Stegostoma tigrinum: one gene and its partner. Each later gene encodes a partner of the first gene's protein in a complex. Links are inferred from orthologs where the notes say so. Each region holds a gene or a part of one and is shown on either strand. Other genes may lie near its edges.

The links.
Region 2: the proteins of ALK tyrosine kinase receptor-like (region 1) and alkal2b are in contact, whole or in part, in a cryo-EM structure (PDB 9G5I), measured with the Homo sapiens proteins. The link is inferred for Stegostoma tigrinum from reciprocal best matches to the Homo sapiens genes ALK and ALKAL2. Residues at the interface, in NP_004295.2 of Homo sapiens: Leu684, Tyr739, His755, Ser758, Leu760, Phe856, His857, Glu859, Leu965, Tyr966, Thr967, Pro968, Leu970, Lys971, Val972, Met973, Glu974, Glu978, Asn980, Val992, Glu994, Cys995, His996, Met997, Phe1007, Asp1009; in NP_001002919.2 of Homo sapiens: Ser112, Lys113, His114, His116, Arg117, Leu118, His120, Asn121, Thr122, Arg123, Asp124, Arg133, Arg136, Leu137, Arg140, Leu141.

The regions. Positions count from the first base shown.
Region 1 is NC_081362.1:75,414,474-75,429,928, forward strand, and holds the start of ALK tyrosine kinase receptor-like, read right to left. Parts: upstream 6,468-15,455; 5' UTR 6,433-6,467; coding exon 5,736-6,432; intron 2,239-5,735; exon of another isoform or gene 2,141-2,238; intron 1-2,140. UniProt on the Homo sapiens protein: Neuronal receptor tyrosine kinase that is essentially and transiently expressed in specific regions of the central and peripheral nervous systems and plays an important role in the genesis and differentiation of the nervous system.
Region 2 is NC_081357.1:108,097,128-108,113,137, forward strand, and holds alkal2b (ALK and LTK ligand 2b), read right to left. Parts: upstream 7,339-16,010; 5' UTR 6,745-7,338; intron 6,325-6,744; 5' UTR 6,276-6,324; coding exon 6,014-6,275; intron 5,018-6,013; coding exon 4,961-5,017; intron 4,865-4,960; coding exon 4,784-4,864; intron 3,558-4,783; coding exon 3,493-3,557; 3' UTR 3,480-3,492; intron 2,011-3,479; exon of another isoform or gene 1,804-2,010; intron 1,240-1,803; 3' UTR 399-1,239; downstream 1-398. UniProt on the Homo sapiens protein: Cytokine that acts as a physiological ligand for receptor tyrosine kinases LTK and ALK, leading to their activation. Cytokine-binding is sufficient to activate LTK. In contrast, ALKAL2-driven activation of ALK is coupled with heparin-binding to ALK.

The DNA of each region.
Region 1 (15,455 bases):
GCACTCGTCCAAGCAAGTGGGGAGCATTGCATAACACTCCTGACTCGTGCCTTATAAATGGTGGGCATTCTTTGGGGAGTCAGGAGGTATGTTACTCACTGCTGTATTCCTAGCCTCTGATCTGCTCTTTTAGCCATTATGCTTAAGTGGTGAGTCCAGCTGAGTTTCTGGTTAATGATAACCCTCAGGATGTTGCGAGTAGGGGAATTCAGTGATCGTAATTAACAGAATCATGGAGCTTATACAATGCAAAGTGTGATAATTTGGCTCATAATGTCTATGCAAGCTCTTTGAAAGAGCTATCCAGTTGGTCCCATTCAAGAGGAAGGGGAAGAAAATTACATAACAACACTGCTATTCACTAATTAAGAAATCATGTTAATGTAATCTATGCAAAAAATTGACAAAATTTATTTTAAAATTATTGGTCTCTCCAGCAAAAGGCTTACAGCACTAGTAAAAAGAAATTAGAATGTTTTCTGTGACAAAAGAAGTCAGAAGGATTTTTTTCACATAAGTGGTAATGAAATTGTGAAATAGGTTACCAGACAAACACATTGAAACACAAATGGAGTCACCAATGACAGGCAGGTGCTATTGATCCATCACAATGGGAAGGTGCATTGGGGCTAATGCCATTTCTCTATACAGAAACAAAAATTCTTAAATGATGAGTTGTAAATTCTACATCATTTCCAGATTTACACCTTGGACACAATATAGTCAAGACGCAACATTTCTTACAAGAAATATTGCATTGCAGGCACAACGTAACTGGAATTTTATGCTGTTTGATTTGTTTTACTCAAAATTTTAATGGAAAATACTTCATGAGAAGTACTATATAAGATTTCCATCATTCTCAGATTTTCCACAACACTTGCCTTTCAATCCCTCTTTCATTTTATGATCCAATGAACAACTAAATAACATTTTCACATATCAATATCCACTTGAATTTCAAACACCAATTTTTTTGTTTGCAAAAGAACTCTTCAGAAAATTCTTTAACTCTCACTATTTTGTGTCTTGTTGCTTCCTTTTATCTGCAATATTTTTCATCTGTTTTGCAGTCATTCATTTGGAACCACTTGCTCTATATCACATTTTTGAGCAATCCTTTAATCCCTTTCTTGCATTTTGCTTATATTTATTTGGTTTAGTACTTTCCTCATTTTCATTTTCACTCATTGTAATCCATCTCCTTTCTGTCTCTTTTTCAATCTAGCAGTTCTCTCATGGCTCTTGCTACATTACTGTAAATTTCCTGCATTTTCTTTCAATATTAGTGTCCCTCTCCCTCATCTTGATCACCATATTTCCCCTTCACCCTTCTCATGAATGCCTCCCTCACATCTACTCTGTATTGCTTCTTTTTGCACTAGAAGTTCCCCTGCTAGCCATCCCCTAATCTAAGGTAAAATTGCTTCTGGACAACTTTGTCCAGTTTGCTGTGTGGTGTAGCTTACAGCAGTGGGACTAGTGATGATTCAAGAGCACACCTCAAATGAGCAGACATTGGATTTTAGTGATAAGTCCATTGCCATTCTTTTAGATATATAGTGTATCAACTTCAAAAGTTACTCACTTGAAATGACATCAAGCATAATAAGGAAATTTGCTCTACTAATAGTTAATTTAAATAGCTCAAGTAAATTAATTCAATCCTTTATGTTTCATTTATGATTTGACTAAATTCTTTATTTGCTTCCTTTTGTTGGCACTTGGGTACTCATGAACTTGTATCAATTGCTGAAATAACACACTTTCAACCATTATTATGAACAGCCCAATGTAGCTATAACTAATATGTCTCGAAGAAGAAGACAAACTACTAACAAAAGTCACATTGCTCATGCTACCCCATGCATGCTTTGTCTTCACTCGAGGGTGATCATTGTCGATACAAGTGAACATACCTCAATTTAATATGCAATTAACGTAAGCAAAGACTTCTCAGCCTGAAGGAAAATGGACCAACAGACCCAATGGCACAATAAAGTACATACAAATCCACAAAAAGTTATATCGGAAATTTGCTCAGAAGCAAACGCACGATATCATGCATGAAAGAAGACATGCTAAGGTACTCAGTGGATAATGAAGACTAACTGACTCAGTCTGGCAAAATGTTACTAACCTTTACTGCAGCTTCTGTAATATCCATTTGTAAATGGCTTGTTCCGAACTGGCTTCAGATGATACAGATGCACAGCCACATCATCCTTTGCGATGATACTTCCAGCTACTGTGCTGTATAAGGCTAGCATATTCTATGACAACAGTCGTCAACTGTAGCCTGAATCTTGGCTCTATGTCCTTGCAGTCCTTTTATGATGCTACCCTATTGTGGGGAATAATGGAGTTACTGAATCGAAAGCAGCCAACACATACAGCGCCAACTTCACTAAAGCGGCGATAAAGCAAAGGATCAGGTGGAGAACTGCTCTATTCCTTGACCTGGATTTATGCCTGAACCTCAGGTTTGTTTTTCTTTTCACCAAGGTCCCCTTCATTCTTTCAGCTGCTCATTTGCTGAATCACATTTCGAGGCTTTCCAAGGCTTTCAGAATTTGGCAGTCTGTTTAATTTTCTATAGCACTTCAAAATTTCACTAAATGCGGCACTCCCACCACCTCTCTGCTCTTTTACAGCCCATCCAAATCCATTCCCAAAGCAATGTGAATGAACTGAAAATTGAATGCAAACGTCACACTTCAGCTTGAAATATCGAAAACACGCCAGGAGTCTTCGGAAGGAATTCTTAGTCTGCAAATTTCTTCCCCTCCCGTCATTGTTCCCTTCAACTTTCTGAAACATTTGCTGCTTATTCTCCTTTCAAATCTATGAAGGAAACTTTCAGGTTGGACTCTGATTCTCCAAAACCCAACCAATGCTAAAGTCGGAGATAGTAGGAGCTGCCGACGCTGAAAATTTGAGATAACACAGTGTGAAGCTGGATGAACGCAGCAGGCCAAGCAGAATCAGGGGAAGAAGAAGGGTCTCGACCGAAACGTCAACTCTCCTGGTCTGATGCTGCTTGGTTTGCTGTGTTCATCCTGCTTCACGCCGTCTTAACTCAACGCTGAAGTCAGTTGAGACACCGAATTCATAGAAACCCTGAAGTGTGGAAACGGACTATTCGACCGCTCCTAACCTGCAAAGGGCATTCCAACCAGACATATTCCCACCTTATTCCCCGTAACCCTGCGTTTCTCCGTAGTTAACCCACCTAGTCTACAAATCTTTGGACACAATGGGGCAATTTAGCATGGCCAATCCACCTAGCCGGCACATCTTTGGACAGTAGGAGGAAACCGGAGCATCCGGATGGAACCCACACAGACACAGGGATAATGTGCAAACTCCATACAGACAAATCACCCTTTGCTGGGATCGAACCTAGGTCCTTTTCACTGTGAGGCCGCTGAGCCATCGCGCTGCGAAAAAAAAAAATTCTTCTTCAGGTTCAACTAAACTTTATAATTGTGGCCAGTTTTAACCCATCAATGAGCGAGGAAATAGACAATCTTGGGTGCAAGGTGGTTTGAAAAGTTGCACAATTTTAAATTCCTACTCAAGTTGGTGGAGAAGAATATTTTGTAAAACCAGTGTTCCAAATGATCCCATCAGCTTCCCAGTGGGTGAACTGAATTAAAACCTATCCCTTTCTTGTTTCTGAAAGAGCTGCAGCTGTTAAAACAGACGCTTGCAGGAACTTGCTTCCGCGTTCATCTTCCACATGATACCCTGAAAAAAAGAGCGTTCTTCACCGTCACTCCTTCACTGGAGAGGCTTCCTACAGGACCTCCAAGTGCTGCTGACGAGACATCTCAGCACCTAAGAAATGGAACAGGTAAGCACTGGCCAAGGTGTGCCCAGTTTCCCTTGAGCACCGCAATGTGATCCAAAAGGTAGCTGAGATATTTTCTACATCAACCTGTTGTGAGATGTCTTATGATAACAGAGGCGTCAGCACACAACTCTGCAGCCGGTGGAACTTGAACCCGAGCCTCTTGGCCCCGAGGAAATACCATGACAGCACAAGAGCCCTAAAAACAAGTAGGTGCACTGTCTTAACTAAAATTTGATTCAGGCTGGTAAATCGGTGCATTCGACTTTATATTGTCCTCTTTCTTGATGCGGTTGGTCAACAGCTGGAAATCCTTTAAAGGTGCTCGCGTGTCTAACTTGCTGTCTGCACTTTCTATCACCTTCTTTCATCCCCTGTACATTCTGCATCACACTGTGATTCATGTATTTCTGTGCAACTCTCGTCTCTACACTTCTTTATATGGTCTGTAAATAAAAAAACGAAAGAGCTGCGGATGCTATAAATCAGAAACAGAAAAAAAAAACAGGAACTGCTGGAAAGGCTGAGCAGGTCTGGCAGCATCTGTGCACAGAAAGTTCTGAGGATTGGTCACTCGACTCGAGCCGTCAACTCTGATTTCTCTACACAGATTCCACCAGACCTGCTGAGATTTTGCAGCAATTTCTATTTCTGTGTGTAACATATAGCCTCTCCTTGCAACCACTTGTCGCTCACACAGTTAAGGTCTGTTCGATTCCTCTCACACAATACGCACCTAATTTTGTTTCATTCATTGGCACTTTTCCATCCTTTGGCGTCCTGTCCAACTTTATCTGCCACTCCTGATTCTGTCACACACTTTTCTCTGTCTTTTTTTTAAAAAGAAAAACATTTTCTGTCTCACTGATGCCCTCCTCTCCAACAAAAAAAGCCCCATCTTCCAAAAAATAAACACATGTCCCAGCTTTCCTCCAAAAACGAAACACAAATCTCAGCTCCCCAAAATTAAACACAAGCCTTAGTTCACCGTAAAAAGAAAGATAAGTCCCACCTCCCCAAAAGAATCAATCAAGTCCCAGTTCCCCAAAAAACCTTCAAATCCCTGCTTCCCCCAAAAAATCAAATAAGTCCCATCTCCCAAAAATAAACACAAGTCCCAGATCCCAAAAAAGTCTCAACTCTCCTCCAAAAACTAAACACAAGTCTCAGCTCCCCTAAACTAAACACAAGTCTCAGCTCCCCTAAACTAAACACAAATCTCAGCTCCCCAAAACTAAACACAAGTCTCAGCTCCCCTAAACTAAACACAAATCTCAGCTCCCCTAAACTAAACACAAGTCTCAGCTCCCTAAAACTAAATACAAATCTCAGCTCCTCAAAACTAAACACAAGTCTCAGCTCCCCAAAACTAAACACAAGTCTCAGCTCTACTCCAAAAACTAAACACAAGTCTCAGCTCCCCAAAACTAAACACAAGTCTCAGCTCTACTCCGAAAACTAAACACAAATCTTAGCTCCCCAAAACTAAACACAAGTCTCAGCTCCCCAAAACTAAACACAAATCTCAGCTCCCCTAAACTAAACACAAGTCTCAGCTCTACTCCAAAATCTAAACACAAATCTCAGCTCCCCTAAACTAAACACAAGTCTCAGCTCCCCAAAACTAAACCCAAGTCTCAGCTCCCCTAAACTGAACACAAGTCTCAGCTCCCCAAAACTAAACCCAAGTCTCAGCTCCCCTAAACTAAACACAAGTCTTAGTTCCTCCAAAAAAAACCCATCTCCCCAAAAATTCAATCAAGTCCTACCTCCCCAAAAAACGAAGTCCCAGCTCCCCAAAAAGTAAGCACCCACCCTCATCTCCCAAGATTAAGGCACAAACGCCAGTTTCTCCAAAAACGGAAGTTAAGTTCGAGCTGACCTGCGAAGGAGACGTGGAGCCGAACCCTGGGCTCGGAGGTTCTGATCGCGGCGGAGATGATCTCCTCCCGCTGTGGGTAGGACTCACGGGCTCTCCTCTCGGGTATCAGGCGGATCCTCAGGCGTCCCTCGGAGGAGCTGCTCCACGCCAGGAAGACTCGGGTCAAGTTGTAGAGGAGGGGGGCGGCTGGCTGCCGCTGGGGGGTTTGCGGCCGGCAGCGGGCGGTATCTCCGGATGCGCCCACCTCCAGGACCACCTGGTTAGGCTGATGCTGTTTCTTCAGTCTCCGCTTGGCGGGCTGAGGGGACGCTGCTGCGCTGGAGCCGGTCTCCTCGAAGCCGCTCCGGGCGCTGATGCCGATGCCGTCCCGGTGTGCGGCGGTACCTTCCAGGGCGGACGCTAGAGCCTCGCAGTCCAGCAGCAGGCGGCAGTCGGCGTCCGCCGCCCGCCCGAAGAATTCTAACAGGTAGTTTCGAAACAGCGGCGAGAAGGTGAAGTCCACGGCCAGCCCTTTCCGCTTGAGCCGAGACGTGTAGGTCTGCTCCGCTCTGGCCGCTTTCTTCTGCGGGCGACTCTCGGCCACTCTCCCGCTGCCTCCAGTTCCTCCTCGTCGCTGCTGCTGCTGTCTCTCCGGCGAGGAGGGCGGCAAGGCGCCTAAGAGAAGCAGGAGGAAGAGGACCGACCCCCCACTCTTCATTCTTCCATGTGGCGGGGATAGAGATGAGAAACGAACCCGGGGAGGCGAAGAGAATGAAATATATATATATATATATATATATATATATTATATATATATATATAAATCAGCAACAAGCGACAGAGAGAAAATAAATTGTGTCAACAGTATGTGCAAGAGGAGGAGGGAAATTGGGAAAATAAAATCTGAACTAAATGTTTCTTGCTGCAAATATCGAAGCCTTGCTTATCGACCGTTCTTCATCACTGATCGCGTCTCCAGCAAACTGCTGTTATTATCAATTCCTGGTCAGTTGTTTCCACTGTAAATGCATTTATGTTCCATTCAACCGATCCAGTCAGTCCCCTTCCCAAAAACAAATCTTCTCCAGAATCCTGCCGTTTGTCGCCTCCCCTCTCTGAGTTGGAAGTTGAATTAAATCTCTCCGCTGTAGCTCTTGCTCTCTTCGGTTTCAAGGGGGTTTCAGGGGCTGTGTGGTACGTCGCCTCTTCAGCGCGTGTGCCTGGATGGAGTGAGCGCTGACGGAGCCTGTCCGCTGCTTCTGTCCTCTTCCTCTTGCTGTGTCTCTGTGTGTGTGTGTATACGTGAGTGTGCAAATATATCACCAGTGTGTCTGTGTGTGTGTGTGTCAGCCTTGCGCTTCGGCTACACGCTGCATCTGCACGATCACAAAAAATAAATAAATCCACCCCAAACGACTTTCTCCCCCCTCTTTAACTCCGGCTGTAGCGTCAGCGCCTCCCTAAAGACACATATATAGACACATCCTGAGTGAGTCAGACACTCTGTAGTCCGGCTCTGGAAGCACCGGACAACAACACCGTTATTTCATTTTTAATCAGTTTAGAAGAGGTCCCAACGGACGTGTGATGTCTTTCTAAGTGTAATGTCAAGTATCGTTTTGATTTTTGTTTTGGTTTGGGTGGTTGGTGGGGGACATAGGAAATAAGAAATCTCCCGGACCGTTAATAAACTCATTCATGAAGCATTCGCAGCACAAGACGCGGCGAGCACTTGTGAGGCGGGGAAGAATCTATGATAAAATTCCTCAGTTCCATTTCACCTATTAGCATTTGACCGACTGCCCGTCCAGATGTATAAAAAAAAATCCCAGACTGTCTGGACAAATGGGACAGGTGGCAAAGGCTGACTCCTGTTGATGTGAGACTCGGCGTTTTCGAGGCCCTACAATGTGAAGGTACACCCGTTTCGGTTAATCTCAGCGTAGCTGTTCTTCCACATGCGCTGAAATGGGATTTTCAATCAGCTTCACTATTTTACGATCGTAAATCTAATGCTCCTCACCCCCTCCATCCATACACCTCCGTGCGTTTTGCTACTCCATTAGATCGAGTATTTAAGCGAACCCTTACCGTTGTGACACTTTTAGCTCTCCATTGCATCTTAATTCCTCCAGTCTTCCCCTTGCTCTGATAGTCCACGCGCTTTTAACCTCAAGTTAAATATTGCTTCAACTACCTTCAATTTCACTTTGTTGAGTTGTTCTACGTTGCAGTTTGGGCTTCGTTCCTTGTAGATTTTTTTTAATATGGAACACCTGAAAGAGATTTATATCCACAATTTAATGTTGCCCCTTTTCAGCAATGCTTTGCTTTAGAATTGTTACGATGAAAAGAAACATCGATTATTGGAAACCACTTAAATAGTTGCATCGGTAAAGCGCTGCGTGGATTAATACACAGAACGTGAAAGGACCTATGAGATCGTTCACCTGGGTCGGCGGTGGGAGCAATTGAACTAATGCTTGAGATTGAGGTCAGCTTAAGGGGAAAAAAGGCATGTCTCGTCACAGAAAGTGACCTAGGGGATAGACTAGAACTTGGCTAACGTACGCGCTGTCGTCCTGCGTCCAGTGGACCAGTTTACGACTGAATATCGGGTTAGATATCAAAGCGCGACAGGGTCTTCAGGAGGGGTAGGTATGCAGAAGAGGAACATAAAGCACAGATTGGATCAGCTTTGGACAATAGCAGGTCTGAGGGGGCTTTGCAGAAGACTCATTTTCGAATGTTACGTGACTGTGCGCACAAGCCTCAATGTATTTGTAACATTAGGCAGAACTTAACTCTTGCATCAACAGCAGTTTGTGGAGTGGAACAAAATATCAGCAAGTCGTGACGGCCGAGCAAGGGAAGCTGGATGTTCAGCTACTAATTGGCAATGGGGAAAAGAGATACGGATGTGGGAATTGGAGGAAATGCTGCTTTAGGATAAAGGAATGGAAGTGGGTTCATTGAGACGGGGAAACAATCGAACAGATGATTTCTACCTTAGTGACTAAGAGGTCCAAAAATCTTTTGCACTCACTTTTGGAGGTGAGGATAGAGGTACAGGGAGCAAATAAAACAAAAGGCAGCAAAGAAGTGAAAGGAGACTCTTTTTGCTCTCAAAGACACTCTTGAATTTGGTTTTCACTGAGAACAGGTTGTACTGTTGATAGGTGGCTAAACCCGGTGAGTGCAGTCACGAAATATATTCACAGCTCGGATAAAGCAACATAGTGGTTTTTCAGGAAATTCCCAGCATGTTCATTTCATAGAGTCACAGAACTTTTACAGTGCGGGGGGGGGGGGGGGTTCATTTGCCCATTTGATGAGCATCGTGACATAATGGCATTCTTGCACCATTTCCTCACAATCCTGCACATTATTTCTCCTTAACCAATGCCTCAATTAAACCTGTTTTCAACACATTCCAGAAATGCAGTCCAGACCCAAACCATCCACTGTGTGAAGAAGATTTTTCCCAAATAGCACTTACTTCCTTTGCAAATCTGGGTAGGAACAGATTCTCCCTGTCTACCTTGTTCAGGCTTGTGATTTTGAAAGCTTCAATCAAATATCCTCCCAGTCTTTTCCACTCCAAACTAGTCATGATTTCTCCAATCTATCTTCATAACTGAAGTTTCTTATCCCTCGAACTACTATAGTTAGCTTCTTCTACACTCTTTCCAATATGTTCAGATCCTTCTAAAGTGCAGACATGTACAAAATACTCCAAGTGATGACTAACTGACTTATATTTATTCAGCATAACTTCTCTATTCTTGTATTTTATCACCCTATTAGTAAAGCCTAGAATGCGATATTTATTAATCACATTCCACCTCCTCTGTCCCCTTTAAGAACATGCACATATACACCCTGGTCTCTATGCTAAAGTGGTACTTTTTACTTCATATTGTTTCCCTATGTTCTTTCTACCAAAAAAAGTATCTCCTCACACTTCTTCACATTGGATCTAATCTGCCACCCATTAGCCTACTCCACCAACTTGCCAGTGTTCCTTGGAAATTCTATGATCTTTCTCACAATTTGCAATGTTTCCAAGATAAAGACAGTGTATCCTTAGGAAGCAGCTGAGCTGCAAATAAGTAAAGCTCCCACCTTCATAGAATCATAGAATCACTACAGTGTGAAAGCAGACCATTCAGCTCATCGAGTCAACACCAACCTTCCAAAGAGCATCTCACTCAGACCCGCTGCTGTTTCTTGTGTTTCCCATGACTAACGCACCTAGCCTGCACATCTTTGGAATTTGGGAGGAAACCGGAGCACCCAGGGGAATCCCACACAGACACGGGGAGGATGTGTAAACTCCACAAAGACAGTTGCCCAAGCCTGGAATCAAACCCAGGTCCCTGCCACTGTGAGGTAACAGTGCTAACCATCTTTTGCTGACCATTGCTAGGATTTGGGACCATGTAGATCAACATATTTCAACTCTTGCAATTTTTCACGCAATAGCAGGTGACAATATTATAAAACCACAGGTGTCATCAAAAAGTCAAGGAAATGTGTTTCCATACTAAACAACAGTGATAACAGAAGAAAACATCGAAAGGGCAATACATTACTAGAAAAGGACATTGACATGGGCAGCTACATTACATTTAAAAGCCAATTAGAAACATTTTTGGAAAGAAAGTGATTGAAAAATATGATAAGAAGTGAGTTAGTAGTGTAAGCCTATCACAAAGGTTTATTGAATCATTTTATGCCCTTAACAATACAAATGTTGATGTGACAAAAGACTCAATTCCCTCTCTGAAATTGCCTGCTTTCAAAGGCAGTTGTTGGTGTGAAAGAAAGAAAAATGAAAATGTAGCTTTAAGCAACAAGTTAACCTCAAAAAATGTTCATCAATAAAACCTATCAGTTACTGTTACCATGGGTTTACCTGCGTGTATGCGGATAGAGGCATAAGATCATAAGATACATTTGGCCCATCAAATCTCCCATTCAATCATGGCCGGCCCAAACACATCCAAACCACATTGTCCAGATTTGGCATCCTTCTACTGGCAGTTCTCCTTCAATCTGAATATCCCCCAAGACTCTATTGGTACCGTACAAATAATTACATTAGTACACCCAGAATGCCACTTTAGATAAGCATAGATTCATACATTGAAGAAGAGACCCTTCAGCCCATTGAGTTTGCACTAACATGTGAGGAAATAACTGACCTTCAATCTAATCCTGTCTACCCAGCAATTGGCCCATAGCATTGCCTGTTATAACATGCCAAGTGCTCATCCAAGTACTTTTTCATGGATGTGAGGCAATTCACCCCTACCACACACCCAGCCAATGCATTCCAAATCATCATTACCATCCCGGGAGAAAAGCTTTTTCTCACATTCCCCCAAGACCTCCTGCCTCTCAGCTTGAACTTATGTCCCCTCACCACTGACCCTTCAACTATGGGGGACAGCTGCTCCTTCTCCATTCTGTCCATGTCTCTCATATCACTTGCACCTAAATCAGACCACGCCTCATTCTTCTTTGCTCCATGAAATCTGTCCAACCTTTCCTCAAAGCTTAAATTTTCCATTCTAGGCAGTACCCTGGTGAATCTGCTCTGCAGCACCTGCAGTGCAATCATGTTTCCTGTAATATGGCAAGCAGAACTGCACACAGTACTATAGAGTAGTCTCATGAAAATTCTATGAAACTCCAAGATGACTTTTCTGCTTTTATCATGTATGCCTCCACTGATTAAGATAAGTGTCCCTGGTGCCTTTTACACTACCCTATTAACATGCCTTTTGCCTTCAGAAATCTGTCGACAAACACTTCAAGGTCCTTTTGTTTCATAGAAGTTCCTAGTGTCATGCCATTCAATGAATACTTCCTTGTCAAATTACTCCTTCCAAATTGTATCACCTCACACTTTTCAGGGTTAAGTTCCATCTGCCATTAATCTGTCCATTTGACAATCCTGTTTGTACTTACTTGGAGCCCAAGACACGTAATCTTACTATTAACAATCTGACCAATCTTTGTGTCATTTGCAAATTTACTATTCCAACCTCTCACATAGTTAAAAATAGGAGACCCGACACAGATCACTGCGGTATACCACTGGACACCGGCTTCCGGTCACTAATTCAGCCTTCTGTCCTAGCAGAGATAGCAAGAACTGCAGATGCTGGAGTCAGAGATAACACAATGTAGAGCTGGAGGAACAGAGCCAGGCAGCATCAAAGGAGCAGGAAAGTTGACATTTTGGGTTGAAGCCCTTCTTCAGAAATGGGGAACAGGGAGGGAGCTCAGAAATTATATCTGAGAGAGGAGGGGTAGAGCTGGGGAAAGTAGGTAGGATAGTGATAGGTGAGTGCAGGTAGAGAGTGGTAGGATTTGGTCAATGGGATGGGAGGGGAGGATAGTTGGAAGAGAAGATGGACAGGTTGTGTCAGGTCAAGGAGGCAGGGATGAGAGGGAGGCTTGGACATGGGGTGGGGAGATTTTAAAACTGACGAATTCCACATCTAGGACATCAGGCTGTGGGGTCCCAAGGTGGAAGATGAGGTGTTGCTCCTTGAGTTTGCAGATTGTGTCATTGTGACACAGGAGGAGGCCCAGGATAGACATGTTTCCCAGGGAATCGGAAGGCTAGATAAAATGGTTGGCGACCAGAAGATGTTGTCATTTGTAGAGCACTGATGCAGATGCTCTACAAAACAGTCTTCAAGTCCACGCTTGGTCTCACCGATGTAGAGGAGGCCACATTAAGAGCAACAGTTGCAGTAGATCAAGTTGATGAATGTGCAGGTGAACCCCTGTATAATGTGGAAGGTTTGTTTTGTGCCTTGAATGGAGGTGAAGGGGGAAATGTAGGGTCAGGTGTAGCACTTCCTGTGGCTGCAGGGCTGAGGCTGTGGTGGGGTAAGTGGGAAGTGTGGACTGGGCAAGGGAGTCATGGAGAGAGCAGTCCCTACAAAGGGTAGATATGGGTGGGGAGGGAAATATCTCTTTGGTTGTGGGGTCAGATTGTAGGTAGCGGACATGGCGAGACTGATACGTTGGATGTGGTGGTTTGTGGGGTGATATGTGAGGATAAGGTGGGTTCTGCCTTGAGGAGAGGGAATGTGAGGGCAGAAGTGCAGGAAATGCAAGACACGTGGTTGAAGGCAATTTTGATCATTGGAGAGGAGATGTTACAACCCTTGAAATAAGAGGACATCTGGCATGTGCAGGAGTGGAATGCCCCATCTTAGGAGCATATGCAGTGGAGGGGGAAGAATTGGGAGTGGGTGAACGCATTCTTGTAGAAAGGTGGATGAGAGGCGATGTCATCCAGGTAGCTATGGGAGTTGGTGGGCTTGAAATAGATTTCAGTTTTGAGGCGGTCACCAAAGATGGATACAGAGAAGTCCAGGAAGGAGAGAGATACTGGAGATGGTCCAGGTGAACTTGAGGTTGGGGTGAAAGGTGCTAGTAAAGTTGATGAATTGTTCAAACTCCTCGTGGGAGCATGAGGCAGTGTCAATACAGTCAACGATGTAGCCGAGGAAGAGGTGGGGGATAGTGCCAGTGTAACAGCGAAAAAGGGACTGTTCCATGTGTTCTACAAAGAGGCAGTCATAGCTTGGGCCCATGTGTGTTCCCGTGGCCACCCGCTGAGCCTTTAGGAAGTGGGAGGAGTTAAAGGAGAAGTTGTTCAGGGTAAGGAAGAGTTCTGTTAAGTGGATGAGGGTGTCAGTGGAGGGGGACTGGTTGGGCCTGCAAGAGAGGAAGAAGGACTTTTGCGCCATCTGCATGGGTTATAGTACAGGGATTGGATGTCCACAGTGAAGATGAGGTGTGGGGGACTAGGGAATTGGAAGTCTTAAAGGAGGTGGAGGGCGTGGGTGGTGCCCCAGACTTAGATGGGGAGCTTCTGGCCGTGGGAAGTAAAAACAAAGTCAGGATAATTGGAGATGAGTTCAGTGGGGCAGGTCCAGGCAGAGATACTGGGTTGGCTGGGGCTGTCAAGTTTATAGATCTTGTGAAGGAGATAGAGACAGGCAGTGCAGGGTTGGGAAATGATGAGGTTGGAGGCTGTGATTGGGAGGTCACCTGAGGTGATGAGGTTACAAATGGTCTGAGAGACAATGGTTTGGTGGTCAGTGGTGGGGTCATGATTGATGGGGTGGTAGGAGGAGGTGTCAGAGAGTTGGCACCAGGCCTCAGCGATGTAAAGGTCAGTGTGCCATACCACTGCTGTGTCCTTCCTTATCCATGGGTTTGATGGTGAGGTTAGGGTTGGAGCGGAGGGCTGTCCATTCCATGGGGGAGAGGTTGGAGTAGGTGAGAGGGGTGGAGAGATTGAGGCGATCAATGTCACAATGGCAGGTGGAGATGAAGAGGGCAAGGGAAGGTAGGAGGCATGAGATGATGTCCAGGAGGAAATGGTGTATTGGAGGCAGGAGAAGGACCCTGTTGAGGGCGGGTTAATCTCACAGTTAAAGAAATAGGTGCGGAGGTGGAGGTGGCAGAAAAAGTGTTCGACATCCAAGAGTGAGTGGTATTCATTAATATTCAGGTGGAGGGGAATGAAGGTGTGTCCTTGACTGAAGTCTGACTATTCATCCTCAGTAAGGGGGACGTCTGGGGGGGATGGTAAAGACCCGGCAGAGCTTGGGGCTGGGCCACTCTCTGTTTCCTACAACTGAGCCAATTTTTAATCTAATTGCTCCAAATCCGGGATAAGACATATATGACATCGGTGCAGAAATTAGGCCATTCTGCCCATCGAATGTGCTTTGTCATTCAATCATGGCTGATAAGTCTCTCAACCTCATTCTCCCGCTTTCTCCCATAACCCTAAATCCCCTTGACAATCACGAACCTATCTATACTCAATGACCTGGCCTCCACACTTTTCTGAGGCAATGAATTCCATAGATTCACCACTGTCTGGCTGAAGGAGTTTCTCCTTATCTCCGTTCTAAAGGGTCTTCCCCTTACTCTAAGGCTGTGCCCCCAGGTCCTCGGTTCTCCTACTAGTGGGAGCATCTTCCCAACTTCCACTCTGTCCAGGCAAATCAGAGTATTGTGTAAGTTTCAATTAGATTCCCCCCCCTCATCCTTTCAAACTCCATCGAATAGAGACCCAGAGACCTCAAACTTTCCACATATGTTAAGTTTTTCATTCCTGGGATCATTCTTCTGAACCTCCTCAGAATCCACTCCAGGGCCAGTACATCCTTCCTGAGGTATAGGGCTCAAAACTGCACACAATACTCCAAATGTAGCCTGACCAGAGCCTTATAGATCCTTAGAAGTATATCCCTGCTTCTATATTCAAGCCATCTCAAAATAAATGCCAAAGTTGCATTTGCCTTCCTAGCTACTGACTCAACCTGCAAATTTACCTCTAGAGAATCCTGGACTAGAACTCGCAAATGTCTTTGCACTTCAGATTTCTGAATTTTCTCCCTGTTTAGAAAATAGTCTATGCCTCTATTTTTCCTACCAAAATGCATGACCTTACAGTTTCCAACGTTGTATTCCACCTGCCACTTCTTTTCCCACTCTCCTAACCTGTCCATATCCTTCTGCAGTTTCCTCACCTCCTCAATACTACCTGTCCCTCAACCTATCTTTCTATTTTCTGCAAACTCAGCCAGAATGCCCTCAGTTTCTTCATGTCGATAATTAATATGTAAAGTGAAAAGCTTTGGTCCCAACACAGGCCCTTGTGGAACATCACTAGTCACCGACTGCCATTCTGAG
Region 2 (16,010 bases), on another chromosome or scaffold:
AAGTGTTGATTTGAAAATGACTGTCAAATACAAATGTATCAATTATTGGTAATGAAATTAGACCACAAAATATGACTCCAAGTGTCATTTTCCCTTGGGGAACTGTTTATATCTGTCTCCGTTTAAAGTAGATTTTGGAAGACGTATTCAGAATAATGCATTCCACATTTTGTGCAGGTTAATATGACTATGTCCTATAGATTGCCTTCTAATTGAACCTTGTATACTTTTATTTATTTGAATTACTTTAGGATAAATGCATTGATTTAAGCAAACTGAGGTCTGTCTAGAGTTCAGAAAAACTGAATTTTTTTGTAGTGAATCAATGATTGGAAAAAGTTGTTTAAAACTATGTAGTAACAACCTGGGAATGTATACAAAGAGCACTCAGTCTAGTCTTTGTCAAATACCAAACACTTTATTTTATAACTGATATATATTCAGGTCTTTACAATATATACATATTGCACATGTTAGCTGGAATGTTTATAAATCATAATGTACAGTGACTAATGACAATAGCTTGTATAGATCTGTATAAATGACACTCCACTGTGTTAGAGAAAAGATAATTGGTCACAAAATTCTTTTTTTCAGCTCAGAGAATGTAAACCATAACCAACAAAGTACTAACCTAACAGTGTAGTTGTAAAATATTATACTTTGTAAAGACAAAGGCAAGAAAAATGTCATGCAAACCATAACTTATCCCTTGGAGTAGAGGGTGACCCCAAGCATTCCATTATATCAATATTTTGCTGTGTTATGACACAGCAAATGATTTTAAACTGCATAAGCATTACATATGACAAGTAAAGATAACCAGCATTCTGAAGCATGAAAAAAATCCTACAGTAAATTCAGGATACATTAGCCTTGTCTTGAACAGTATCTGAGTGTCTCAATGTTTAATACAAAATAATACTCCAAACATGAACAAGAAAGCATTTGTGCAATTTTTGGCAGCATTACACAGGAAAACAGTGAAGTGTTGTTATTTTCTTAAATGTTCAGCCTTTGTAACATCGGCAGTTATTTATACTAATGTACAGAATTACAGAAATAATGTTGACAACACACAAAATGCACATTAATGAGTTCATGGAGGTAATCCATCAGTTTGCAAAAATAAATCTTTGTTCACAATGGAATATGTTATAAAGGTATTGAGATCAATGTGTTTCCCTGTTGTTTTCCAAGGCACTTTTCTTGGTTCTGGGGATATCTTTATGTTGATACCTGTAAGATAAGATTATTGCATTTTGTATACTTAATTTAGAATCACAGAGTGCCTACAGCTTAGAAAGAGGCCTTTTGGCCCATCGAGTCCTGCACTGACCCTCTGAAAAGCATCCCACCCAGACGCAGCTCCCCATCTATCACTGTAACCCCACGTTTACTGCGGCCAATCCACCTAGCCTGCATATCGTTGGACAGTGAGAAGAAACCAGAGCACCCAGCGAAACCAACACTGACATGGGAAGAGCATGTAAGCGCCACACAGACAAGTCACCCAAGGCTGCTGGCATTGAACCTGGGTACCTGGCACTGAGAGGCAGAGCTAACCCTTGAGTCACTGGATTTTTCATGGATTTTAGTTTTAAAAAGTGGAATGCTTGCTTTATAAGTTCTTCAAAACTGCTGCACGTTTATACGTGGAACTCAATGGTTTCATTTTTAAGATAATAAAATGTGAGGCTGGATGAACACAGCAGGCCCAGCAGCATCTCAGGAGCATTTTACAAGTTAGTTGATGACTGTAATTGTTCCAAAATGCCATTTTGGTTTTGAAAATGATGGCATATTTTGGCCCTTTTAACAATTATTCAGAAATTGTATATCTACCACGGGTAATTTATTTTGTTGTTTATAAACATTTTATGCCAGGATCCTTTCCATAGAAGAGAGTGCACCTTTAGATTGTTCATCTGTGTGGTTACATCACAATGGTGCATGACTGGTTGAAAGTTGGTTCAGGTGTCATAAACTTAGCAGCTCCTGTTCAGTGCTCTGTATGAGAATTGTGATATAATGTTTCAGTCCATTTGTTGCAGCTATTTAATAACAATAGTTGGTTAAATGCTACATTTAAAGGTAAGATATCAGTTTGAGTTCCTAATTTGCTGGCCTCTCAACTAGCTAGGCAAACCACATCAATTTTATCAGTCAGACATGATAGTGAGGCATGGCAAGTTAATGAAAAAATTTCTTATTTGCTACAGTTGTACTGCTCCTCCAAACTGATGAAGGAAAGAATGTCACAAAAATTAGAATATATTTTAAAAATCAGTATTGGAACTATTTTTGTGTCAGTGATGATTAATAAGTGGAATTCACCAAGCATCATCACAATTGGAATTTCAATTCTGCACTGCAATTGAAAAAATATATCCCCACTCTCATGTAAAGCTGAGTGAATGAAAAGAATGATTAATCAATAATGAAATGAACTTGTTGGTGTCTAACTGAATGTGCATTACCTAGAGCAGTGTTACCATCTGAAGTTCTATCTTTTCCTCAATCCTGCCTCAAGTTTGTCCTGACAATCTGCATTGAGGTACAGGAGCCCAGATGCCAGAATGAAGTAAGACATGCACCTGATACCTTTTGTTCAGTTGTAAATGATGATTACTGCCTTTTCCTTCCCAGGGTATATGTACTTTAGACATCTTACATGTCTTATTTTCCTAACCGAGGCATTCGTGCAATCAGTGACGTTGTGGGTGTCGCTGATGTGTGAGGCGTGGAAGTTCAGCATTCATTCGATTGCATATTAATTAGCCCGGCTGGCTTTTCTACTTTCACGATGCGTGGGCCGACCTATTGATTAGAAAGCTTTGTAAAATGGTGTGTATATCAATTGCTGCCATCTCTTATGATGTCGTAGCCATGGCAATTAGTGCTGCCTTATATAGTGCAGTAAAGCATCAAGATGGCAGAACATTACTAACAGGCCATTAATATTGAAAGGAATTACATCTTGAGTCTGGTTTCATGTGGTTGTGGTTCAGCTGTTGAGTTGAAAGCGAACGAAACTAGGCTTTTGCCCAGACACAGCTTTTGCTCATACCGTCCGATTATGCAATAGCTTTCATATATTTGCAGCGTAATTTTACAAACTGCCTACATTGCTCTGAGGTACATTAGAATAGCCAAATAATAGGATGAGCTACCCAAACGAAATGGCAGCTTGGGTGGGTTTCACTGGTACCGATGTGATATCTATCAGGAAGGTAAAGAAGAAATGCTGCATTTAGCCCCTGATCGATTTTGGCTGAAAGACAAACTCACGCTTGAAAGGGATAGTCTGCATGGAAGGGCCGATTGGTTTTGAAATGTATTTGCTAACGGAATAGATCGTTCCAAATTGCCACGCAAACAACCCCGCCTCAACCCCCAGAATGTCAGAGTCGAAACTTCAGAATGTAGAACAGCCAAGCTCAAGTATCACAGGATGGCAGTCCGTGAGCAACACTTACCAGTAATCGAATTTTAGCCTTTAGCGCACATCGGACTGACTGCCAATCTTGTGAGAAGTCTGGCACATCTTTTGTAATCTACGAGAAGAGAAAGCTGTCACGGCACAGAAAAGCACTCACGGAGATTTATTTGCAGGAGATTGTGTCTCTCTTTCGAAAACAAACAGATAATAAAGTCGCCGAATCGTCAGCTTTCTTTCATTCTCAGAGACATTTGTCTGTTAAAGACATATTCCTGCCATATGGAGTTACTGAAGCTTCCCACTTAAGCCAGAAGGATGTAAATAAACAGATGGGTCAATTCTATTTTTATAAACGGGCTGTGTAAAGTGTCTGCCTTTGAATTTCGCGTTCAAAAAGCAATTTCGCAAACGAGCCCGATTGTCCGATAATTTTCATTCCCATGAGAATCATTTTTAAAAAAACACTTCAATCATTATTGCAGCGGTAATGCTGGGTTTTAGAATGATGTGTGATGTGATACAACACAAGCCACATTGGGTTGCAAGCGTAACCCTTAACATTTCCCGACATTTATCTCGGCCCACCCTGATAGAATCCAACGCGCCGCTGCCCTTCTGGATAGACAGTGGGGATATGGTTTGCATATACCTGAATGAGTCTCATTGGGAATGATTTTGGCAACAGGTGTCCGCCAGTATAGTGGAGCAGGCCAGACTCTCCGTCACTTGCCTTTATGGAGTCTATCCTTTCCCACCATCAGCCTGCTGAAGTTTCAGTCATTCAGACCAGAGTGTTGACCACCCGGCTCAGGATCATTCAGGTAAGAATGGAAATGTCCACAGAAAAACCCCTCATCTCTCTCTCTCTCCCTCCCACCCTCCTCTCCAGCGGGAACTGTGATCCTAGACAACAGTGTGGAGGTGGATGAACACAGCAGGCCAAGCAGCATCTTAGGATCCTGCTGTCAGTCTGCTAGCTGGGACTAGCTCTGAACATCATGCATGGTCACATCTCTACCGAAACCAATGCAAACCATCCTCCTCTGCCACATCCGTGCTGCTCTAATGAAAGCTGCCAAATGAGAGTGACCCTGGCATGAGAGTGGGAGACCAAGAAGTCCACAGTTTGGAAAGTCCTTCAGACTGTAACTACACTTCGTTCGGAAGAATCTGCCTGACCTACTGTGGGGCCAACTAGTTTTCTCTTTCAAATTTCAGATATCCAGCACTGCATTATTTTCCTAATTGCTTTAATAAAAAAAAAGCCTCTTAGACTCATGCGTAAAACGATCGCTTTCCCCAGAAGGGGACTGGGGAAAGTAGTGGCGGATTCGCACTTACATGCTGGTATGGTACAGTCCCTCGTGTTGTGGTACAGCCGATGGAAGTGTTTGCTGCACTTGGGGCTGAAGTAAAGTGGACCTGGGGAGAAAGGCAATCACTGTTAAAAACCGGCCGATCCGCACTGGGCATAAAAACACACGCAGTCACAGCCACACTGAATGAGCCGTGGTTTACCTGTTAAATGTTTCAAGAACTTGTCTTTCATCTTCCTCAGATCTCTGGGCACTATTTCTGTTGGAAAATCAGACAGGGGTTTAAAGGCAGGGCTGAGATAACGTTAGCTTGATGGGGTTGCTAAACCTTGGCCAATCCTTTCCTAACGTGGAGTTCGATCGTTTTAACGGTGTTTCGACTCGCCTTGAGGTGTGTGCTGGAGTCACGGGCAACTTCAGGAACGATTGGTTCTGAGTGGCAGCGAGGCGAATCCGCAAGCAAGGAAGAAGCGAAAAGACAGCGTCCCCCGACTGTCCCAATGTTGAGGGATTGTCGAGGGGAGCCCCGAGTTAATAGACAATTCGAGACAACGCTGCGTGAACGCTGGGCAGGGGAGGGAGGATCGCTTTTTGTAACTCCTACCCTAGCCCTGCCTGTTCCCATACCTGACCAGATCGACATATCCCAAAATAGTGAGATATTGCAAAAAAATAATTAATCAGGGCTATAGATCGTGAATGTGGAGCGTCCCCCCCGTCACCTGGGAGAGATTGATAGCAAGCAGACAGTCCCCGTTCTCCCGCGGATCTCTTGAGCAGCGGGACAATGTCCTCAAGTCACCCTTTCCTGGCTGCTGACCATTCACAAACTGTCTAACTGCGTTTAGCATATATGGATGGGTGAGGGTGGGGGGAATACAAGCTGCTGGGTTTAGTGTCGCTCCTTGCCTTAAAGTAGCCAACATCGCCTTGCCATCAGTTTCCACCAACCCAACTCCCAACCCCACACCACCCCGCCTCCCCACTCCACCTTCCTTTCTTCCCGTCTGTACCAGAAACCAGCTACAGAGAGCGAGCAGACCTTCCGCAGCCCCAAGCGGTCATTCATCGCTTTTATCGCCCCCCTTCCCCCTCCCAGATTCAAACAGCCCAGTCCTCCCCTACTTTCAATTTGGTAAAAGGAAATGAAATGCGTGATCACCCAATATATCTGGCTCTTCACTCAGTGAGGCGGAAAATCCCCCAGGGGTAGATTCATAACTACCGTGGAAACAATAGACCCGAACACACTTACCAACTCTTTCCTCCTTATGATAGACTTCATTGTCAGGAAATTCCCGGGAATCAAACGTATAATCGACAGGTTGCGGGAAGTAGTCGATTTCATTAGTTTCCTCCTCCTGGTGCTTTTGTAACTGATTAATGATTTCCAATATTAAATTAAAGAGGGTTTTATTCTCCCGTAACTCCGTGACATCTGTCCTCTCTTTGCAATATCCAGCTGTGCTAATGAGCAGTACCAGTCCAAAGAATAGCGGCGACCTCAGACTGTTCATTTCTGATGTTGAGATCAGATTAAAGCCTCCCAGCTGCGACTCCGTAGCTCTAGAAGAGAGAATACACCGGCATAGTGATCTTTAGCAGCTCAGTTGAAATAACCGCACGCATATACCAAGCCACTCATAAACTGCACACCACTCTCATCAGCACTAACCACTTTACTGCTTCTTACGGTCTTGAAAATTCAAACTCTTCTGTGTTTTAAGATTCACACTGAATGGTTAGTCGTTGAATTTAGCATTAAATTCCTTTCTTTTAAAAAAATCCACATTTGATAATTGTGGCAAAAGTGCATACAATTCTGCTGTTTTTGCTACTTTGCAAAGGAAGGCGATTTAGTCCAGAAGGAAAACAGCATCCGGCATGTGCTACCTGGCTTGACTGGAGCAAGACTTTTTATTCTCAAAGTAGCATCTATATAATCTAGACCTGAATCGCGAATTTTAAAAAAAATCATGCATTTACCTTCAAAATATATCCTTCCCCCTCTCTTTGCAAGTCGGGTCGTTTTTGTTTTGCTGAAACTTGCTCGCAGAATAAATAATTTCTCGCGGTGTGCACTTTATTCCTTAAACTACACCATTTCTGCAGTACCTCCCAGCACAGGCCCTTATATAGTATACGATGCATGTGGTAGTTCAATATGATATTATCGACTTGAGGTGGGTGGCAAACAATAAAAGTCCACTTGGCAACCTTTGTTCGGTAACTTTCGTTAGATCTTTCCCAACCTTTTACTGTCTATTCGCAGACGTAATCGGTCCCAACGGATTACCCCGGCGTGTCTTTAATTGGAAACGTGTTAACGCGATTTGAAAATACATCCTTCCCGATCAAGCACTCCTTGAATTGCATTATTTTCGTCAGCCCGGATGATGATGAGACCGTCACTGACTGACAACGCTGCGTGGATACCAGGAACTTCTTTTCTATCCCCTTCCCTCAGCCGGGAACCGGTAACTGCCATTATATTCCTGCCTCTTGCAGTTTATTTGATGATCCTCAGGATATGATTTCTGATAAACATGTTTATTTCTTCAAGTCTAATTTCCGACGTGACATATTATTGGAAACGCTGTGATATGGATGTTAAAGTCAGCAAGAAGTGTGTACTTGCACATGAAACACTGCAGTTAGATGCAGCTATTCAAAGGTGCAACGGTGCCGGTATTAAACCTTTAACAGTGCCTATTTAATCAGAATGTTGTTTACTACTCCCTTCAGGTTCAAACAAACACCAAAGTGTGTGTGCGGACCTGGTGAGAGCAAGACTTGTCCAAATCTATACGAAACGGTGATTTTGATGATTTCAATTAACTTCCTATTTATTGTATCCTAATAATGAAGCCCCCTACACCGCTTAACACTGCGAACGTGGACACGTCAAATGTAGAAATTTGGAGAAAATACACAAACTGTCATTTGTAAGGACACATAAACCAAAGAGCAGACTAACAACGGCGCCATGCGGCGACTGGCCGGAGTCAGTCAGACCACCGTGTCCTACAAATGGGGGGACTGGGTTCACAGCGCGCTTCTGTTAGATATAATTTATTCATAGAAACTTCCGCCGATACTACTCGACCATGTACAGTTGATCTCATTATGTCGCTTGCATAATCTATAGAATAACCACTTGCCGTAGAAAATCCCCTTTGAGGGAATATTGGTGTTGAAGGAATCAGACTCCGAACAACAGTGCAAATATTCATCCAAGTTACCCTTCATAAATGCATGGATTACTAAAGAAAAATGTTCTTCAAACGGATCACTCGCCTTATGTTAGGGAAGAAAATGGTGGTGACTAGCCTACCTCCTCCCACTAGATGCCACTCATTCGCTTGATATGCACCATGAGTAAAAAGCATTTTTCCCCATTTGGTTTTGTATGACAAACCCTTCAATAGATCATATGATTCCATAGCCTGTTCATTAATTTTGGTGCAAAAGTTTAACAGCAACATTTATTTGTATAATACTTTCACCAAGGCACATAACATTATATGAGGTCAGATGAAAGCTTGATCAAAGCAGTCATGCGTTTCCTGAAAGGAGGAACACTTGGTAGAGAAGTATGGAGAGAGAGTTTAGGGCCGGGGCAAGTGAAGGCGTGGCCATGGATGGTGGAATTAGGAATAACCCTTGGGATTGGGCAAAAAGGGAAAGCATGAGAGGAGTGTAAGTATTTTAGAGGGTTGCGGGACTGTCAGAGATTGCAGAGATAGAGACAGGGTGATATCATTGAGGGGTGTGAAAACAAGATAAGAATTTTTAAGTCAACGTGTTGATAACCGGGAGACTGTATAAGTCACAGAGTGATAGGGTAATGAGAGTTGCTGCAAACTGAAATGTGGCAGCTGAATTTTGGCGACCACGTTTATAAAGTGTAGAATGTGGGAAACTAACCAAGGGTATATAAAATTTTGAGTGAATAAAAGGAATGTAATGTCAAGAGAATGTAGTAAAGGATTTGTTGAATCTTTGATCTGAGTGTTTTCAATTCTTCAAAATAAGATTATAAACATTGCCAATTTTTTTTTATGGGCTGTGGCTTTGCAAAATTCATAAATTAAAAATGTGGGAACTCTGAAATTCAGCATCAAATTGAAAATTAACCACTTTATTATAGGCCAAGCATGGTGATTGTGGAAACAAAGACAAAAATGTCAGAAGCTTTTTTACACTAATGACTAAAGTGTACTTTGGTGTTTTCTCCAATTAGCTGCTGGGGTTGTAACCGTTTAACCTGTACAAGTGCATTCTTTATATCCAGAAAGTACGAGCTGGCTAAAATCCTATGCTTATGCAGCATTTTCAGTTTTCCAATACTCAAACTTTTGATTTAATAATACATTTCAAGCAATGACTACTGATTTGAGCAGAGAATGATTTATCTACTCTTTATGTAGGTCCATTGTCTCATGGGTGTTACATCTTCCCTCCCCTTCCCATGTAATCAAGGGATAACCTAAATAATGTAATTGATAAACTAAACAACTTATGTTTATTTAAGATGATTGTCAACATATCCGTTCATAAGTTGTGGAGAAATATTGACAAAGTTAGTCCAAAGTTTAGTCTGGAGAACATATGTTCCTAATAAATATGGAAAAATAAACTGCTAATACTGATAATCTTGAATAGAACAACAAAACTCTAGAAATATACAGAAAATCCACAATACTTATAAGTCAGAAAACTTTTGTCTAAGAATAACAACAATGTTTATTTTATGACACCTTTAATTTAGAATAACATCCCAAAATGTTTCACAGAAACATAATCTGGTAAAAATATGAATGCTGAGCTAAAGAAACAGGTATTAGAAAGGATGACCTTGAACTTGGCCAAAGAGATATGTTTTATTCAAGGCCTTAAAGGAACAGAGAGAAGTTTGGAGAGATGTTCTTGAAAGTAGAACATGGGTGGCAGAAGCACCACTGCCAATGGTGGTTTGCAGGTCTTGGGGGTAAAAAGCACAAGGGGTTTAAAAAAGAAACACAATTCTCAGATGGTTTGCAGGTCAATGTTTTGAGTGGGCACTCTTTGCCAGAATCTGAAAGGGGTGCAGAAGGCAAGATCTCTTTTATTAGGAAGTCTTGCATCTGTTAGGTTTTGCAATGGGCATTGTATAATTTGAATTTGAGATGTTATTACTACAGAAGAGAAGCAACACCTCTACCAGCTCATTTGATGTGAGACTGGTAAGAAGCATTTCCACTCACAAAGGGTGATAGAAGCTTGGAACTCTCTTCCACAAATAACAGTTGATGCTAGATTGGTTGTTCATTTTAAGTCTGAGATAGATACATTTTTGTTAAGCAAAGACGTTAAAGGATTCGCACCAAGCGAATATATGGAATTAGGCCTTGGATCAGCCAGATTCCATTGAATGACAGAACAGGCTTGAGGGGCTGAATGGCCTACTCACTTCATATGTTCCAATAAAATTTCCATGATGTATTGTGACACTTGTACAGTGTAAATATTAATGTTTAAATCAGTATTAGCTGTAAAATATTAACTTTAGTAGTGAAATACTAGCATATAAATAGTCCTAAAACATAGTACAATGTCATAATGGAAAATGGCAAAGTGACACAAAGAGCGATAATCTGAAATTATAGCACTGTTAGTTACTTCAGTACCATGATTAGTTTTAATTTATAATCCCTTGAGATTTTGAGGTGAGTCGTACAATCAATTGAAAACTACTATGTAAACATAGTCTATAGGAAATCAAATTTACAAATTACCATATTTACCTGTTACACTACCTTGTGAGTCCAGCAGGTGATGTTTTGTAGGAATCTTCTTTCTCAATCTGATCACTGACCTATAAAGACCCACTGTAATGCTGCAGCATCGTGCTGTATTGCTTGTTGTAAAGGTAAACTCAAAATGCTTTCTGAACATAAAATCAAATGTATATTTTTCTCAATAACTGAAATTAATTCTGTCATACTTATTTTGAAAAATAAAATGAAAAGGAGAAATTATTTCACTCAAAGGATTGTGAATTTTTGGAATACCCTGAAGGACTGTGGGTCAGTGAATGCATTTAAGGCTAACACAGATCAACCTTTGGTCTCTCAGGAGAGCAAAGGATGTGGAGAGCAGACAAGAAAATAAAGCCCAAGATCTTTCGAGATCATATTGAATGGCAGAGTAGGTTTGAAGAGCTGTATGGTTTACTCCTGTTCCTATTTATTGTGTTCTCAAGTATAATTAAACATATGAGTTGACTTATCCATTGAATAATTTCTCTCCTGCTCCTGTAATCCCCTATCTAAGATTACCTTGTTTTAATTCATTCTTGGGATGTGGGTCAGTATTTATTGCCCATCCTCAGTTGCCCTTGAAAAGACAGTAATGAGCTGTCTTCTTGAACTGCTGCAGTCCATGTGCTGTTTGTACACTCTCAATGCTATTAGGGAAGGAATTCCAGGAGTTTGACCAAGTAGTCATGAATGAACTATGATGTATTTCTCAGTCACAATAGTGAGTGGCTTGGAGGGGAACTGCAGCTGATGGGGTTCTCGTGTATCTGCTGATCTTGTCCTACTTCATGGTGGTTGTGCATTTAGCAGGAGCCTTAGTGAATTTCTGCAATTTTTGTAAATGGTACACTGCTGCTATTGATGTTCAGTAGTGGAGGAAATGGCTGTGATGCCAAACAAGCAGACAGCTTTGTCCTGAATGGTATTGAAAGTTTCTGGAGAAGCATTCATCCAAGCAAGAGAAGTATTCTATCACAAGCCTGACTTATGCCTTGTAGAAGGTGCACAGCCTTTAGGGAGTCAGGAGAAGCGTTACTCGCTGCAAGATTTCTAACCCCTGACCTATGCTTGTAGCCATTCAATTTTATATGGGCTAGTCCCGTTTCTGGTAAATAATAAACCCCATGCTGTTGATAATGAGAGATTCATTGATGGCAAAGCTATTGAATTTAATTTGATTGTCTCTTGCTGGAAATGGTCATTGCTTGGCATTTGTGTGGCACTGTTGTTATTTGCTACTTTTCAGCTAAGCCTGGATATTGTCCAGGTTTTGCAGCCTATCAACATGGACTGCTTCAGTATCTGAGGAGTCACAAATGGTACTGAGCATTGTGCAATCATCAGCAAACATCTCCACTTTTGACCTTACGATGGAGCGAAGGTCAATGATGCAGCTACTGAAGATGTTTGGGCCTTGGACACTACTCTGAGGATGTCCTGGGAGTGAGAGGATTGACCTCTGACAGACACTAACATCTTCTTTTGTGCCAAATATGATTACAACCAGAGGAGAGTTTTGCCTTTGATTCCCATTGACTCCAGTTTTGCTAGGGGTCCTTGACACCACACTCAGTTGAATGCAGCCATGAAGCAATGGTCAGTTACTTTACCCTCAATCAACTCTGGAATTCAGCTCTTTCGTTTATCTTTGAATGAAGGTTATAATGAGATAGTAAGCTGAGTGGCTCTCGAAGAACTCAAACTAAGCATCACTGAATAGGTTATTGCAAGCATCCATAAGACCCATTTCTCCCCTTACTGTGGAATGTGGACCAAAATGTGAAACAAAACTACTTTAAACCAAGGACAGTGGGAGGCACTGGAATTCATTTTGAATTTTGTTTACACCACTGCTTTGCCGAGCAGTTGTTGAAGAACCTGTGGCACAATGGGTCTGTATGCAGAGCAAGCTTCACCCTGAGACAGGCTATTGATTTAGAGTTTTAATAAAGGCCGAATGTAGGAGCCAAAAGCTGTCAGCATGATAACAATCCACTGATTGGCCATGGGAAACATGGACAATTTGTGGGTGACCAGTACAGAGGCAGAAGGTTTCCAGTTTGCAAGAGACAGCGTTTTATTTCTTTCACTCCACTTTGAAGTAATCTCGAACTGATAGTTAACTATTCTCTCCCACCTTCAGCTCAAATTATTGCCTTCAGCAGGTGACTGAAAGACTGAACAGTTAATGTGTCAACTGCGCTGTGTCTTCAGCAATGAACTGAAAGGGTGTGGAAATAAGATCAGAACTCAGTAGATTAGAAGAAGCAAAAGGACACAAATCCTGTGGATTAGTGTGATTGAACTGTTACCACAGATATTTTCCCTCAACCAATGACAGCAATGTGTTTGTTTGCCTGCGCCTTTCTGCATGTGAGCTTGGGGAAAGCAATACAGCTTAAGCTGGCGGTCATAAGTTAATATTTAATATGATGTTTCTCTCATTTATGATAAATAATAGTTTCTTATTAAGTGCTAAACCTCATCAAGTTTTCTGTTAACCTGAGCCCATCATATTGATAAATACTGGTGGATTTTGGGTAAGTTGGTTAAATGTTTAACTTTTGTGATGACCCCAAGAGTAGTGAGCCATAAGCATTAGTGGACTTCCCAAATGGGCCTGACATCATGATTCTGTTAACTGGTGTGTAATCTTTGCAATTTGAGCCCACAGTTGGCAACTCTATTGATTCTATTTCCTTATTACCCTGATTAAAAATCACCTCTTCATCCAAACTTTCATTTACTTCTTCTAACTTTTTCTTTCCGTTGGGAATTTTTTGATTATACTTCTATTTCATTATTCATGTTCTTCATATTTTCTGTAGTAAAGTTTTATTTTAACTTAGCTGCTTTAACTCCCTTCCAAAAGCTTAAAAGTGAACATTATATCTTTGCCTTTGACAGTGCATCAGTACTATTTAGCCGGCTGAGCTACAAAGTAACTTGCTTTAGTTTCCAAAATATTCTCCTTGGCTGTTGTTCAAACTCATTTGACACATCAAATGACATGTGTAAAATGCTTCACTCAGAAATTATTCATATTATTTGACCTGAGAGACGCAGTGATGTATGTTTAAAGCCTAGAATGTTTCCAACTGGACAGGGATAAACAGGTTTGAATAGGGTTTGATGGTCCTAAACTTTGAGGCATGAGGTATTTTTAAATGTGGCTTCATCTACAGGTCATTGTTAGCTGCCCAATGAAATCATGCCAGTGGGTGAGAGAGTAAATCTGGGTTCTTTGGCACTCCATCAGCTAACAGCAAAAGAAGGGTCATCATTGCAAATTAAGTTTCAGATAAGAAGTATACAGTTTTAGAATTTATGACACATAAGGCAACCACTTAGCCAATTGTATTCATGCCAGCTGAAAAAAAATAGCATTCAGTCTAATTTCACCATTCAACTCTTGGTCACTAAACCTGTAGGTTATGATACCTCAGGTGCATAAAGAAGTTAAAAATGAAAGCAAATATAATTAAAATTCATTGATAAGTTGAATATATTAGTGAAGTCTTGTGGAAAGGGAGATCTAGGATAGAGATGGATGCAACTTTCCTTTCTCACCTGAACTTCAATTCGTACTCATCCTGATTCCACACGATGGATTTTTTTCCACTAACCATGGATCCCTGCTGTCAGTAGACTTGGTTCAGTTTGGCAATAACAGTCAATATATGAAAGAAAACATGACCCTGAATTTCTTAAATGCTTGTGGTCCTTCCTTAGGCAGGGTTGCCATTTAATTGCAAAACTGAGTAAATTAAAATAAGCAATGTTGAGAGACAGTCACCTTATGCGTCACACTTCTCCATGTCTCTGCAATTCCACCGAGTGCTTCCTCCAACTGCATTCCTCCAATTCTGCCCTGTGGAGTATCCCTGATTTTAATCACTCCATCAACAGTAGCCTTGCCTTCAGTTGACTTAACCATGAATTCTGCCACACATTTGTTATAGCTCAGTCTTTCTTTCTGCCTCCTTTGCCTTCTTTAAGATGCTTGTCTCCTTTATTAAACTTTTAGTTTTTAGAGATAACACAGTGTGGAGCTGGAGGAACACAACAGAGCAGGCAGCATCAGAGGAAAGCTGATGTTTCGGATCAGGACCCTTCTTCAGAAATGGAGGATGGGGAAAGGGAGCTCCGAAATAAAGAGAGAGAGGAGGGGTGGGGCTGGGGAAGGTAGGTGGGATGGTGATAGGTGAGTGCAGGTAGGCAGTTGTGGGGATTGGTCAGTGAGGTGGGAGGAGGGGATAGGTGACCTAGTTTCTACTTTTAAAGATAGATTAGAAGGCTAAATGGCTAACCTGTGATTCTGAATAACACTAACTATGGGTTTGACTTGTGCTTCAGCTAAAGTAGACTTAAAACTTCCTTCTGAAATAACTCCTCAGAGGTCAGTATACCGTCACCAAGTCAGCTTTTTTCCCACATGTAGGGAGCGCTTATCACTGATCTACCTCCCTCAGAGCCAGCTCTCAGAGTGAGCAGGATAGCTGACACTCCTGTTTATATCTGTCAGCCAGGGCTCCCTGGTTGGATCAGATTAACAGCCCCAATCAGGAAACTCATACTCTATGTGGCCCACCTGGTTAAATTCATTACAATCACTACATCTTCCATGTTAGAAAGCAAAGGCAGACCAGCACTGAAACAAAAACTACCAATAAACAGCTCTGGATAAAACAGAGAAGACAGTGAGCTAAGGGCCTCCCTTTGGACAGAGCGATTATGCACATCTCCTTCACTGGCTCAGCACCATCTTTTGTTTTGTATTATTCCTGTGAAATGCCTTGGTACATTTTGTTAGTTTAAATGTGCTGATTAAATATAAATTGTTGTAGGTGTTGTTGTACAAGATGCAGAGAGACAAAAGGGCAGGTATTTCATTTTTCAGTTGCAAACCCACCCAGAATGTTTGGTTTCTTTCAAGCTGAACTGCAAAAAGTGTAATGCCTGAAGAGTGTCTTTGAACCTCAGAGTCCCTAATATTTATAATTAATGTTAAACTCATTTCTGGTCACAATTAAGTTAACTGCATTGTGTCAGTGCATTAGGAGCAGGCTAAGTAGTACTACAATATTCAGTATTTAACAGTTGTAGCTTTATTGATTCCAAGATTTTCACAATCTTAATTCATACAAAGTATTTACACTAAAAGTGATATTGCTTCCATAGTAGCGCATGCTAGTACACCACTGTGTCAGGCCGGGATTCTCTGTCTGATATCCCTTGATGGAGATTGAAATTGGGGGGTCTAATTCCTCACCAAATATTCAATAATGCTCTATGTTAACTTTACCACTTCTTCCCCAACACACTGCAAAGGTGATTTTTGAATCCTTACTGAATCATATACACGATGGCAGGACTAAAATGAACAGTGCTTCCTACGTGCTTGAACGTTTTGGCATCTCCAAAGGACCAGTTCTTGTCCTTGCTGGCAAG